Rattus norvegicus: one gene and its partner. The protein of the gene in region 1 interacts with the protein of each later gene in a biochemical or structural test. Links are inferred from orthologs where the notes say so. Each region holds a gene or a part of one and is shown on either strand. Other genes may lie near its edges. The genes, in order: Cdc25b and Ywhab.

Region 1 (7,521 bases):
GCTGAAGGTACCCTGTAATATAGGTGACCCTGGGGGTGGATGCCAGCAATGCTGGGTTTCCCTTTCTGCTAGCCACTGGCCTGGCTCCCTGGACAGGGGCTGCTTTGGTGATTTTTCTGGATCAGCCCAGCAGACCCTTTAGTGACAAGTATACAGGGTTACATTCTCTCCTCCCTCCTATGGAATTTTCTAAGACCCAACCTCTGTTCCACCCCCTCCTTCTGTCTTAGAAGAGGCCAGCCAGCAAGGAATTCCAACAGATGCTCCATTTGAGGCTGAAGCGTCAACTTCTACATACAGGCCCTGCCTTCCAATGTTGCTGGAGCACCTGTCATGTGGAGCTTAACACACACACACACACACACACACACACACACACACACACACACACACGTACACCCCAGCTTCTTTCTGAGAAGCTGTAAATAGTCAAAAGTAAGTGCAGACTAACTGGAGAGGCACTTAGTGTCCAAGTGACCCTCAGAGAGGCCTGTGTGCAATCAACCTGGCATCATTTGTAGCTGGGCCTCAGGGGTGAGGGATCTATCTGTGTTGTCGCTAAAAAACAACGTACACTCCTCCCATCCCCACCCAACTCTCGATTTCCTGTTTGTGAATAAACCTTGAGACCAGCACAGTCTGATCAAAGACATCAGGGGGAAATAGTAACCCCCGCCCTAAACCAAAAGCTGTGACTGGCAATGCCCAGCTGTTCCTCCTAATGACTGACAGCTACTCCACAGCTGGATGGGAACAGGTGTGCTCTACAAGGCTCTATTGTGCCACAGCCAAGGAGGAGGAGTCTGCTCACAGCAAAGACCAGCTTTCTCCTCTCCATTCCCTGTTGCAAAGGGTCTGGTCAAGGGTCAGCCAAAAGCACCAAGTGTCAGGGAAAACTGGGAGCTGCTGATGAGCCAGGCCAGTCTGCAAATGCAATTTTTGTTTGGCCTCGGTTGGCCTTGAACTGCCTATCTTTCTGTCTGATCTTCCAGAGTGTTGGGCCACCACACCCAACAGGACCATATTTTTTTTCTTTTTTTTTTGGAGCTGGGGACCGAACTCAGGGCCTTGCGCTTGCTAGGCGAGCGCTCTACCACTGAGCTAAATCCCCAACCCCAGGACCATATTTTTAAGTTTGAAAAAAATGTTACATGTACAAAAAAATGTATACAGGAGAAAAAGAAAAGTGGGAACATGAGGGGCATTGTTTTTCTGAATGACAATGTTAGCTGGACTAATATTGGAGTATACTTTCCCAGAGGCCATTGTTCCTGTGACCTGTGGTCCTGAGCCCACGTTCCTCTGGTTTCTATGGTATCAGGCCTTCTCTGAATAAGGAGCCAATTCTTAAGACTTAGGAAGAAACCAACCCCTCGCAATGGGGATCCTGAGGAACCTGCCTATTATTTGGTTTCCCTTTCTTAAGCAGGATACTGGGGGCTGGAGAGATGGCTCAGTGACGAAGAGTATTTGTTATTCTTGCAGAGGACCTGAGTTCAGTACCCAGCACCCACATATGGCAACTCACGACAGCCTGGAATTCTAGCTCTAAGTGTTCCAAGGCCCTCTCTGACCGCTATAGGACAACACGCTTACACGCACATATCCCCATGTAGAAAACCATATAACACATAATTAAAAACACATTAAAGAAAGATCAGTCCTCAAGGGCAGGTGCCAAGTCCTCAGTGGAAGGACTCCTCCCCCTCTACTCACGTGCGCTCTGCTGTCTGTGGGTCCATAGGGCTAGGGGAGTCCATGCAGAGACCTGGTGGGACAGAGCACCTTGGCTTGCAGGTAGCAGCCTTTCCTGCTTACTTTTTCCCCAAGAAAGGGAAAAGAAACCTCTTTCTCTTTGAGATCAAGGCATACTTTAATGGGACACTGCCCCCATAGGACGAGGGGCTACATTCTCTATTTACTATGGGAAACGTATCTGCACTTTTTTGTTTTATTTATTTATTTTTTAGTGCTTTCTAAGCATTTTTCTTAAGCTGGTTTAAAACAACTTGGAAAAGATAATGGTTTTCTAAGGAGAAAAGGCTACAGCTTAAGAGAATGCTTCACAAGGACAGGCTTTTGGTACCAAGTGCTGTCTGGGTGGAGCTGTAGTTCAGTGGCTTTACCGCTAGGTTTCAAATAAGTAAGATACCATCTCCTACCAAGAGTCGTCCTTCCCCAGACTCCCAGTTTAGGCTGGGTGTGGTAAGACCCACCAGAGGTTTGTTTGCTTCATAGTTTTGAAGGCAAGCTGGGGGATGATTCTGTGGAAAGGACCGGGATCTATCTCATGGGCAGAGAATTTAGAAGGTCCAGAAAGTTCCCTGATCTCTTTTGGTGGTGGTGGTGGTGGTGGTGGTGGTGTGTGTACCCCCACTACGGGCCCTGGGCCTTACCTGCATCAGAAGATTCTGAGGACTCAGATGACAGGGAGCACTCAGAGGTACGTCTGGACAGGGACAGGTCTGTCAGCCTGTTCTGGAACGACAGGCTTCCTACTTGAGTTTTTGGGGTCTCGCTAGGAAAGGAGAAAGAGGCACAGAGGAGGAGAAAAAGAAATTAATGTTGGATTTGGAAGCTGGTCAGCCCATGCTCCCATGAATTCCCCAACTATGAAGGGCCCATCTATCTGTCACTGAGAGGTGATCCTAGAACTAGCCTGTATCTCAAGTCAAAGCATTTCATTCTACTGAGGCCCGAGAGGGTCTTCTCTGCGTTGACTGGTTCAGGAAAGACCCTTCTAAGTGTCTGGAAGAGTGAGAAGGATGGGCAGGAGACAGCCCAGAAGCTCTGGAGAACCTTCTCCTGCTGGGCACATCCTCACCTCGCCAGCATTTCCCAGGAGGCAAAGGCTAAGCAAGACCCGGCTCTCTGCTGCAGCTGGACCGACCACCCAGCTGGGACCCCACAGGTTAAGGAGGTGGCCCGTCTTTTTTCAGTTTAAGCCTTAGGGGAGTAGGTGAGATATTTTCAAAGAGCAGGGCGCAGCCTTTTAAGACCCACTTCTAGGCCAACCTCATGATCCTCTGCCTAAGAACAGTGTGCAGGAGGCACAATGAAGGAGCAGTGAGGTAAATGATCCTTAGACGGCCAGTCATCTGGAGGGTGTAAGTCGCATAGCTTCTGACTCAGCACACTGGTCCCATGTCACTGAAACAAGGCTAAAGGCGTCGGTGTGCTGCACTCCGTGGCTCTGGTGCCTAGTGTCTCCTGGTCCCGGCCTCCCATCCCACCACACCCAGTGCCCTTGGGGCATCCTACCTGCCGAGCCCTGCGAGGTTGTACATGGTCTGGGTAAGAGTGGTAACCGGAGAGGAGGAAGCCGCACGCTCTGGAGACCCCAGCAAGCCATCAGACCCAAACCCAAAGCCTGAGAGGTGGCGCGGCCGCTGAATGCCACCCAGCACGCGGGCAGTACTGAGAGCTGAGCCCGGCGCAGACTTCTGCGGGGGTACCTCCATGGTGGCGGGGCGGGCAAAGGCTAGCTAGAGGGCCACAAGTACAGCGGCCAGCAGACGCCGACCCAGATGGCTAGGCTCCGAGAGTGAGCCTGGGGTAAGGGGAAGGAGGGAGGGGAGGGAGGGAGGAAGAGCAGTGGGCCTGGGAGTGAGGAGAGGGATGTGGGGAGGAAGGGAGGGGAAGACGCGAGCTGGGCAGCTGCCACCTCCACCTCCTTATATATTCGAAAAATAACAGCGGCAGCGCCGCCAGACGCCACCAATGGGGGCGCCGGTTCCGGGAGGGCGGGACCAAGGGCGGGGCGCTGGTGGCTTGGGCTGAGGCTGGACCAGCTACTTCTGCCGGCTTGGCTTCTTAGGGTGGGTGACTCAGGGAGTTGGGTTAACCCCCTGTTCCACACATACCCTCCGCTCCCTTTGACACGAGAATCCTGGTCTCCAGGATATTGCCTCATGGGACAGGGTTTGGAGGTACATAACCTCAGAAGGAGTAGCCATCACTTAGGGTGGCCTCGTAAGGAGCCCTCGACGTTTACCATCAGTGCACGGTCACCGGTAAGGGTCGGTGCTACACTCTGCTTGAGCCTAGGACGTTTGCCAAGTTTGCTGTGAGCTCTGCGTTCCCTGTCCGGTTTACAGACCGAGCGTTGAAAAGTTCCGTGACTCGTTTAAGGTCACGGGTTTGGTTGAATGGCGGAGACGAAGATGCACCCTCCCGGGCTCCTCTGATCCTGCAGCCTCCCTGTCAACGCCCCTAGGCCGCAGAGAGCAGCTGCAGTCATTCAACCGCGGCGCTTTGCGAGGCACAGAGGAACTGCCTCACTGAGCTAAGCCCAATAGTCTCCCCTATAACCCCTGAGAATTAAACGTTTAGATTTACGCAATGATTTCTGCAGCAGGCAGTTGGGAGCAGCCAGAGAACCCAGTAAGGGAAGAATCTCACACCCACTATGGCTTGGCTAATTTGGGGTTAATAGCACCATAGTGTTTCTTTGAAAGTAAAAGAGGCTGAATTTGCTATTAGTTTACAATGAGCGTTTTCTAACGATCTAATCACCTTGCAGGCGAGAGTCTGTTTTCCTGGAATGAGCTGGGAAGGACCTAGTAAGTAGTTGGGAACTTTTTCAAATTCCCCAGTGAGGGTGTGGCTTCTGGGACGGTCATGGGGTGCAGTATAGGATCTAGGAGCTGAGAGCAGCCTTGAACACCTGCCTTTGCTATTTTAACCACCACCCTAGGCCCACCAGGTAAGAATGGCAAAGGGGTAACTAAGGGTAGGGATAGAGTCTAAGAGGTTCAGCTGTGAATAAAGGAGGACACTAGACACACCTGAGTGGAGTGCCCGAGGTAGGAACCACGACCTGACCACTTTTTTCTTTCAACATTTTGCCCAGTTCCTGTGGTATGTCAGGAACTTATATACTGCTACTGGGGACCCATTTCTTATTCCAGTCATAAGTCAAGACCTTAGTGCCAGGACCAGGAGAGAAATGTGTCCCCACATGGCCTTCCATTCCAAAGACCTGAAATAAAATTGCTCCAAGGAGTATATTTTCAAAACCAACATAGCTGGTTTCCCTCAACCTGCATCTCAGCTCACACACTGTTTGGGGTGAGGAGGAGCCATGCTGTGTTGAGTTTTGATCACTTGAATCTCATGAAGTTCCACAACTGAAAGGTTCTCCTTGTCCCAGTGGAGGAGAGAGATGTCCTTTCCACGGCAACTGACACCCACTCACACCCTCCTGAACCTCACTTTTCCACTTAGATCATAAAATACATACTCAACTAAAACAACAAATTGCTCTTAGAGATTGAAGGCCACCCAGAGACTGTCCCACCTGGAGATCCATCCCATCTGCAGACACCAAACCCAGACACTACTGCTGATGCCGAGAAGTGCTTGCTGACAGCCTGATACAGTTATTTTCTGAGAGGCTCTACCAGATCCTGACCAATACAGATGCTGATGCTCAAAGCCAACCATTGGACTGATCACAGGGACCCCAATAGAGGAGTTAGGGGAAGGACGAAGGAGCGAAAGGGGCCTTATCTGGCATCAATGGGAGGGGTGGCTTGGGTCCTATGAAGGCTTGATGTTCCAGTGTAGAGGAATGCTAAGGCAGTGAGGTGGGAGTGGAAGGGTAGGTGAGTGGGAGGAGCACCCTCATAGAAGCAGGGGTAGGGGGGTATGATAGGGGGTTTACACAGGGGAAACTGGGAAAGGGGATAATCTTTGAAATGTAAATAAATAAAATATCCAATTAAAAATTTGCTCTTTTTTGAGATTAGGAAGAGGAGTGCTATATTATGTAAACCTGGCTGGCTTCTGACTCTGTGTGTAGAGCAAGCTGGCTTCAACTTTATGGTGACTGGGCTGTTTTTGATTCCTGAGTGTTGGGAATTTCAGGCATGGAGTGCCACTGCCCGCAGGTTAAAAATCTCACGGTGCAGCCCGCAGAGTTTTATGTCACAGGCGCTTTGCCTGTGTGTGCACCATTTGCCTGCTTGGTGCCTGTGCAGGACAGAAGAGGACTTCAGATCCCCTGAAACAGAGGGTTGTGAGCTGCAATGTGGGTGCTGGGAGTCAAACCTGGGTCCTCTACAAGAGCAGGCAGTGTTATTAACCTAGAGCCATCTCTCCAGGGCCTTTTTAGGAACGGTGTTTCCTCTACTAGTCCCCCAACACACACCTTTTTTTTTTTTTCCATAGGTGTGACATGTTAAATTTTTGTGCCACTAAAACCTCAAAGAACAACATCTTATGATACAAAAGACAGCCCCACCCCTAAATCTTCAGAAACAGCACTGTGAGAAATTTCTTGTATCACCTCCTGAAGATGATTCATATTTAGCCAAAGGAAGCATGGTGGCAGACGCGCATGGCGGCCACAAACAGAATTAAAGATTCCTTAGTAGCCACGTTCAAAAAGCAAAAGGGAAGCTAACCTCAGTCCTGTACTCTGTCAACTTACGGAGGAGGAGTGAGGAAAGAGGATCAGTGACAGTTTGAGGCCAGCCTAGGCTGTAGAGTGAGAGCCTGTCACAAACAAACAACCCCAAAGTACTACCAACAAAAATAGAAAAGGGTCTGAGGTGTGTCTCAGGGGCAGACCATTTGCCTAGCATATGCAAAGGCCTGGTTTCTGGCATCTGCTCATAACACAGCAAAAATATAAATAAATGCGGTAAGGATAGTAAGTTTTATATTTTAATTTTAGTATTGTATTTAATCTAATATACTAAAAGTATTACTGTGCTGGTTAGTTTTTTGTCAACTTGACACAAACTAGAGTCTTCTGGGGAGAGGAAACAAGAACCAGCTTTAGGCAAGCCTAAGGCTTAAACAGCATTTTATAGTAAAGACAAACTAGGTTTATTCTTGTTTATGACTAAGCCTCTGCTTCTCAAGGATTGGGCTATACCCCACCATAACCTTACCTACCAATGGCTCTGTGCTGCCTGTTCCAGGAATGGCGATCGTGTCCCTGTTTCAAACAGTTAGGACCATCTTGCAACCCTACCTTTGTTTTAAAGATTACTTGACCACTTATGACTACCAGTTGTTTTGACTACTTTATAATGCCCATCTTGCAACCATGTATTTGTTTTAGAAGGTCATTAGGAATAACTTGAGTTTGTGTTCTACTCCTGTAACCTCATCTATTCTGCCCACCAAACCTCCCATTGGAAACACCTACCCCTGAGCTATAAAGCCTTGTCTTCCTCACATCCAATGCTGACCTCTTAAGCCCCACCTTAGAGGGAGGCAGCCTTTGTGCAGACTAGAAAAGCTTTCTTTAAGTAAGTGCTTGCTTTAATTAATTTGGCCATGATGATTTGGTTCACTGGTTTTTCTTCTCCAATCTTTGGGATTAACAGAAGCCTCAATTGAGAGTACGTCTCCAGCAGACTGACCTGGAGGCAAGTCTGTGGGGCATTTTCTTGATTAATGACTGACGTGGGAGGGCCCAGCCTATTGTGGGTGACATCACTCCTAGGCAGGCGGTCCTGAGTTGTATGTGTAGGGGATGGAGAGACATCCCTGTAGTTAAAGAGCACT
Region 2 (6,890 bases), about 34 Mb from region 1:
CAAGTGCTCAGTGTCCTCAATTTAATCCTCGAGAACTTACCTTAATAAATAATATCTTTACTATATCTTAATAAATAAAAAGGGGGAGTTATCACTGTATGCTAAATAATGCTCCTTTTATTTCAATTTTAAAATTTGGGTGCCAAGGAACACTCTGAGTGTTTATGACACTCTACAACTAGGCATACTTCTGACTAGGTGAGATAGAAAGATCCACGTATTGACATGATCCTGTCCAGATATTTTATATGGAGAAGAGGGAATGTTTGTGTTTTCTCTACAGGATGCTACAAGAGTGTGCCAGCTGCCTGAGTGGCTGGTGAGACTTGCTGATCCTGGTTGCATGAAGATTCAGCTCTCCTGGTTCGGGTCCCTGGAGTCATTCCTCTGCCCTGAGAGGAAGATGGAAGATTTTCCCTCATCTTTTGTCATCACAGAGATTTTGGCGTTGCTGCAGTCAGTGTTACCACTGCATGTGTCCCGTCCCACTGTGGCCTGCTCTCTGACCCTCTGTGCACTGCTGCTTGCTGGAGAAGACTGGACTCCAGCTGTTATCCCTGCCCCCCTCATTTCCCTGGTGACTCTTGCTGCCTTAACTGGTGTTGTCATTTTGCAGTCTGTAGCTTCACAGGAATGCCATCTGCGTGAAACTGCTGTGGACTGGGGAACTCTGCCCTGGTTGTGCAGATCTCAGACATGGTTCCATTGCCTGCTGGTTGTTCCAGAAAAGAATGGCTGATCCTGAACTGTCCTGGGAAAGACCTTGTTATTTTCGCTGCTATTGTAGCAGCCATTTACTGCTGTAGCCATTGTGTCTGCAGTGTCTGGAGTTACCCTCCCCCCAATCTATTGTTAGGCAAGCACAGTGGGTGAACTTTCTGGAGTAGTTGCTAGAACCGGATGAGGTGCCCACTACTTATCGAGAGTGGCTCTGTTTGGTGCAGCCCTATGCTGTGGATTAGTGTTCATGCTATGGTTGGTTTGCAAACTCAGATCTCAACAGAAACGTGACAAGGTCGTTATCATTCAAGCACTTGTGGCCATTGAACAAGGGGCCTCCCCTGAAATTTGGTTATCTATGCTCAGGAATTAGTCGGTATCTGAGTTCTCTGCTCTTGCACCCCATGGATCTGTGGATCCATTGCACTGGGATGAGACTCAATGATTCTTTGATCAGCCCTTCTACATCGCTGAGGTTTCCTCATTGCACGCGATAGGGTGATCATGATTTCCCCACTAACTCATTTTCTGGCTGGCCTCTTTTGTAGAGTTCGCCCTAGGTTGTTTAGCAGTTACTGTCACACAGCACTGCAGTATCCAGAGACTGGCAACTTTCCTCATGCACAGACCAATCTAAGACACGGGGCCCGGTGGCGATAGGGTTACCCTACGACGGATAAGGCTGTGACATAGAGGAACGACCTAAGACAGGAGCCACAGCAGATGGACGTTACTGCAGGGACCTAGACCAGCCTCATATTAGTAAAACAATAAGGGGGAGATGTGGAGAGCCGCAAAAACATTCGCCACCACAAGATGGCGCTGACTTCCACTGTGCCCCACGTGGAAAGCCGGGATAGCTTTTGCCATTACAAGATGGCGCTGGCCTCCGCCGCGCCAGCTGACTTCCTTTCAGGAAGTTAACTGTGTGCGCATGTGCAAGAGTGTCTTTGTGCCAGGTCTTGGCCCACTCCGGGGCGTGCCTATGAGATCATGGGTAAGCGACCAATCAGGTGTGAATGCGCAGCGCTAGGGTGTATATAAGCCGTGCCATGCTGGCGACCCGGGCCCTCTCTTTAAGATACAATAAAAACGTTTTGCTGCAGAAGGAGTCGTGTGTCCCCGCGTGTTCTTGCTGGCGAGATAGCGCGGGACATGGATCCCAGGAAGAACACATTCAATTTGTACTTACTCCATCTGTTGTATTCACCTCATCCCTCCCTTTCTCCCACTTAATGCAAACAGTAGGTAACATCCATTCTTTCCACTCTTAATTCCTCCTTTACGAAGAGCAATTCTGGACTGGCAGTGTGGCCTCGGCCACTTGTCTTTACCTACAGAATGGGCCATGCAGTGGCCACTACTGCCTGCTTATAATCCTGACCCAGGGAAACCTTCAGAGACGCTAACATTCTTTCTTGTCCACCAGCTGCTTGCAGGGAGGGTGTATCACTTACCAGAAGACCCTATTACAGAGGCAAACAGCCACTTCCGGGTTTCATCAACACTCGGCTCAGTTGTTGTCTTGACACCTACTACCTACAGCTGGAGCTGTTCCTTCCAGACTCACCTTTGGTTTTGGTGAATGGAGCATTACAGGGTTTTTCCTAGGGAGATACAGTCCCATCTATTCACTCCAGATAGGGAAGATAATAGATACCGAAGAAAGGATTCCACCCACGTCCAGTTTGGCAAACCAGCTAAGTTTTATTGGGCTGCTGACAGAAAGGAGTATGGCGGGTTCTAAGGCAGCTGTATCACTGTTAAGTCCCCTGCACCTTGAGAGTGGCTATGCCACCAGCAGCGCTGCCATCTGTGCACGTTCAGCCAAGGTGCTTATGTAATCTTGTGACATGCCCTCCACCCCCTCGAAAAGAAAGGCAAGGGTCTTGCACAGGTGATCATGGCTGCTCTAATTCAAGCCGGCAGTTACCACAGATGGCCATCTAAGACATCTCTACCGCTGGTTCTAAAGGGTAAAGAAAAACTATTTACTCTTTAAAGAGAGGGTGGTGACACATCAATCCACAGGCAACTAACTGATAAGATGTTTTATTTCACTTTTGAGTTTTTACATCGTCCTGATTACTCTGTGTAAGGAGAAACTAGAATGTTTAAAAGACATACACGGATCTAGCACATCAGTAACTGGGGGTGGGGAGGGGGTCTTTTTCTTTTTGCTATACTATTTTCACAACCACAGGTGTGCTTGCTAGGCAAAGAACCACCACGGAAGCAAACATTAGGCAGAATACTGGTAAGGAAAGAAAACAGAGCGAAGAGCTACCAGATACAGACAGGCTTGGTCCACACTCGCTGCTGCTTGTCAAGCGCCGAGTATTAACTGCACGTTTTCTGTTCAGCTAGAAAGAAGAAATTTTTTTGTGGGTTTTTTGTTTTTGTTTAAATCAGTGCATGAATTCTTTTCATATTTCAGCAGATGGACAAACGGATGAACTCTACAGCTATGGGTACACGGAATGTCAAGGTAGAGGGGTGATACTGTGAGACTGAAGGCCTGGCTGTTCTTGGTTCTCTCTACTGTAGTGTCCATGCAACTTCCCTGTGTTCTAAGTCTTCTTGAGGCGTGTCTGAGGACGAAGCTGGATGAGTCCACTGGAGGGAGGGTCTGTCACAGGCACAGACAAAGCACTGTCAGGGCTGGGTGCAATGGGGGAAATCACAAATACTTAAAAGTCCTTTATTTTTTCCCGATTTGGGTCATACTATGAAGAACAACTGTGCTGAGACCTGGAGGGAGACAGGGTGTGGTGCTGGAAGGTCTTTCTCAACCTTTAAAGCACAGCTCTCACCATGTGCTCAATGCCCCGCCCTGTCCACACAGTACTGACTAATAAAGGCTTCCCAAGAAAACCACCCAAGGAAGCAGAAAGCTGTACATTTAAAGAGGAAAAAGTCAAAAGTCAAAAGGACAGGGTGAGAAGAATGTTACGTGTCACAGCTCCCACCCCAAGGCTAGGAATGCTCCTCAGGCAAGAGGCCGCATCCACAGAACATTGAAGAATCATCCAAAAAACTGGTATGGCCGTTTATATGATACACTACTTTCTCTCTCTTTCCCCTCTCCTTCAGCTAGGGGGTAACAGCCCCGTTTTCACATGGAGCTAATCAGGAACACGTTGCTATAATAAAAAGGTTTAGTCACACATGTGGTATGAACACGGGACCTTTTTGTGGTGTTACAGCCCAATTATCAGCCAAAGAAGTTCACTTTCAGGTTTTGAATTTCCTCAGAAGACACTGCAGATATTTGCGGTCATGAACTTTTGAGTGGTAACAGCCCAAAGTGATCAAGGGTTAACAGGCCCTCAACCACAGGCAGAATTACTGTGAGTTACCACACTCAGGATGCCAAGGGTAAGCATCTCGCCCAAGTCCCAGCATCACAAGAGAATCTCTAGAACTTTCTGTACAACTTTACAACAGAATTGTATTTCAGTGACCATTTTGATATCAGATTAAACTTTCCAAAAAGTTACACATAATTCAGGTCAATTTTTCCTACCAGGAAGAGCTCTGCTAAGTTATAAAGCCCTGTAATCACAGTGTTCAGTTTGTAAAAATTAAACACACAGTAATCCTTGTCAATGTTGATCAAATCAAGACTTCAAAATACCATGGCATTTAAGGGACCAGTCTGAGTTTTAGATACAAATACCAGCTGTTCATCCCAGGGACCGTTTCTGCAAGGCTTAGGCTGTGAAAGATCGAAAGTCCACATTGGATTTTTTTTGTTTTTGTTTATCGCACAAAGGGACATAATGTGGAGGATACAGTGACACCAAACAGATCACAGAGCTCAATAGACATTAGTTCTCTCCCTCTCCAGCATCTCCTTCATCCCCCTGGTTTTCTGACGTCCACAGCTGCAAAAGGAAAAGAAAGAAAAGGCTGTAATAAAATCAAGATCATTAAAAGCTTTCTTCAAGAGATTGCCTAGTATATTTTACCTCATTTAACTACCATTTTGCAAAAAACTAAAATGTTTTTCCTGTATGGGTGTTGTGCCTGCACGTTTGTCTGTGTGCCTTTTGCATGCCTACTGTCCTAGGACGCCAGAGGAGGGCACTACATCCCCTAGAACTGAAGTTACAGATGGCTGTGGGCTGCAATGGGAAGGTGTGGTTCCTTCGGAAGAACAGGCTGAGAACCACTGAGCTATGGTTCCAGGTCCCACATTCAACAACTCGAAATTCCCTCTGACCACAGACAATGACTGAAAAGGCATAACGTTCAGCAGTAAGATGTAGGTAACTTGAGAATGTAAAACTGTACTTGACAGAGTAGAGAGCCATCTTAAATCTTGGCTAACAGTGGACTAAGGAGCTATCTGCTCTCCGAAGGTACTTACGGTGAGATTGTCCCTTAGCAGCTGCATGATCAGGGTGCTGTCTTTGTAAGACTCTTCATTCAGGGTGTCCAACTCAGCAATGGCTTCATCAAACGCCTACAACAAAGGGTGTTAGCAAAGATCTGGGCGCTCTTTGTGTTAGCGCTACCTGTCCTGCTGGTGAGACCTGTCTGCGCTCAACTGTCTGCCACCTATTCAAATGTACACCCCCCCCACATATTCTCATTCTCTCTCTCTCTCTCTCTCTCTCTCTCACACACACACACACACACACACACACACACACACACACACACACACACACACTACCAGTCAGCAATGATAAACCCCCCAAAAAAGTTATGTTAACCGTAGCACATTTAATCTAAAAATTCACTCAGGTTTTTAATTATCAAAGTGGCTTCTATTTTTTGTTTAAACTAAAAAGGTCTGGACACAAAGGTCAAAGGGGAGAACAGGTAAGCTCACTTCACTAAGCTTGATTTGTCTCCCGGGCTCACTTTGTAGAATCCACTTCAGGCACTCTTTTCAAATTAAAGTTTCAAATAACAGTGTGCACCAGAAAGCAAGCTTCTCAGAGAACACAGGAAGTGATAATACAGCACAAACAAAGTGGGGCTCCTTCTTTCATGGGGTCCTATCTTGGAACAAAGGTGACAATGTCCAAAGCCTGAAGAGAGCCCCTACTTTTTACCTGGAAGGTTCTACCAATGACCCCAACAGTAACCAGACAATATATTCAGAGCAAAGTGCCAAATAAGAGGTGTGCATGGATTTCCTAAAACCCCACTCCCTAGAAAATGCGTCCAAGTCTAGATGGTGAGGATGCTCACAAACAGAAGGAAGTTCTTGGAATTAGCAATGCGTCTTTGCTCACCGTTTTGGCCAGGCTACAGGCCTTTTCAGGAGAGTTTAGAATCTCATAGTAAAAGACTGAGAAATTCAGAGCCAGGCCAAGGCGAATCGGGTGTGTAGGCTGCATTTCTTTCTTGCTGATTTCAAATGCTTCTTGGTACGCCTGCTGGGAGTTTGACACAGTGGCTGGAAGGAAGATAAAAATGTTAGTGTCTCGCACATGGGATCCATATCCAAGACACTTTAGTAAAAGAAGCTAAAGCAAGCAACCCATCAAAACAAAGGTCCACGTCTTCACCATTCAACCTAACATCTGCTAAATGTTTATGCTAAGTACTGTATTAAAGGCTTTGGAAGAAAACAGTTATAATGAAGTCTATTAAAGCAGCCAAGAATATAGACACAGCCCTTCATAAGAATGAATGTGGATAATCTAGTGAAAAAAAAAAAAAGATGGGGTTTAAGATAGGCATAAACAGGTTGGGGATTTAGCTCAGCGGTAGAGCACTTGCCTAGCAAGCGCAAGGCCCTGGGTTTGGTCCCCAGCTCCGAAAAAAAGAAAAAAAAAAAAAAGAAAAAAGATAGGCATAAACAAATTCAAATTCTCAACTCACTTGTATGTGGCCTGGAGCAAGTAAAAACATCTAAATTCGAACTCTGGTTTCTTTTATTGGAAAACATGGGAGACTCTCACCTAAATTCAAAGTGCTAAGAGGATAACACAACCCTAATTACTTAGCACACAGTGAACACTGAATAAAATAAAACAGCTATAATCACTTCACAGTAAGCCATGGGCGGAAAGGAAGGCACTCCCCTATGGTGGTCTCACACAGGTCTCCCTTATCTGTGGATGCCTGACACTAGACAGTACTGAAACCCATCAGACATACTCAGACAGGAAATCACCAGGACAGTTTTAACAATACACTGTAATGTAGTC

Evidence for each region.
Region 2: the proteins of Cdc25b (region 1) and Ywhab form a complex in vitro, tested with the Homo sapiens proteins (2 studies listed by BioGRID). The link is inferred for Rattus norvegicus from reciprocal best matches to the Homo sapiens genes CDC25B and YWHAB.

The regions. Positions count from the first base shown.
Region 1 is NC_086021.1:138,856,303-138,863,823, reverse strand, and holds the start of Cdc25b (M-phase inducer phosphatase 2), read right to left. Parts: upstream 3,652-7,521; 5' UTR 3,462-3,651; coding exon 3,262-3,461; intron 2,519-3,261; coding exon 2,397-2,518; intron 1,769-2,396; coding exon 1,717-1,768; intron 1-1,716. UniProt on the Homo sapiens protein: Tyrosine protein phosphatase which functions as a dosage-dependent inducer of mitotic progression. Directly dephosphorylates CDK1 and stimulates its kinase activity.
Region 2 is NC_086021.1:173,097,375-173,104,264, reverse strand, and holds the end of Ywhab (14-3-3 protein beta/alpha), read right to left. Parts: intron 6,134-6,890; coding exon 5,970-6,133; intron 5,189-5,969; coding exon 5,093-5,188; intron 4,608-5,092; coding exon 4,551-4,607; 3' UTR 2,757-4,550; downstream 1-2,756. UniProt on the Homo sapiens protein: Adapter protein implicated in the regulation of a large spectrum of both general and specialized signaling pathways. Binds to a large number of partners, usually by recognition of a phosphoserine or phosphothreonine motif.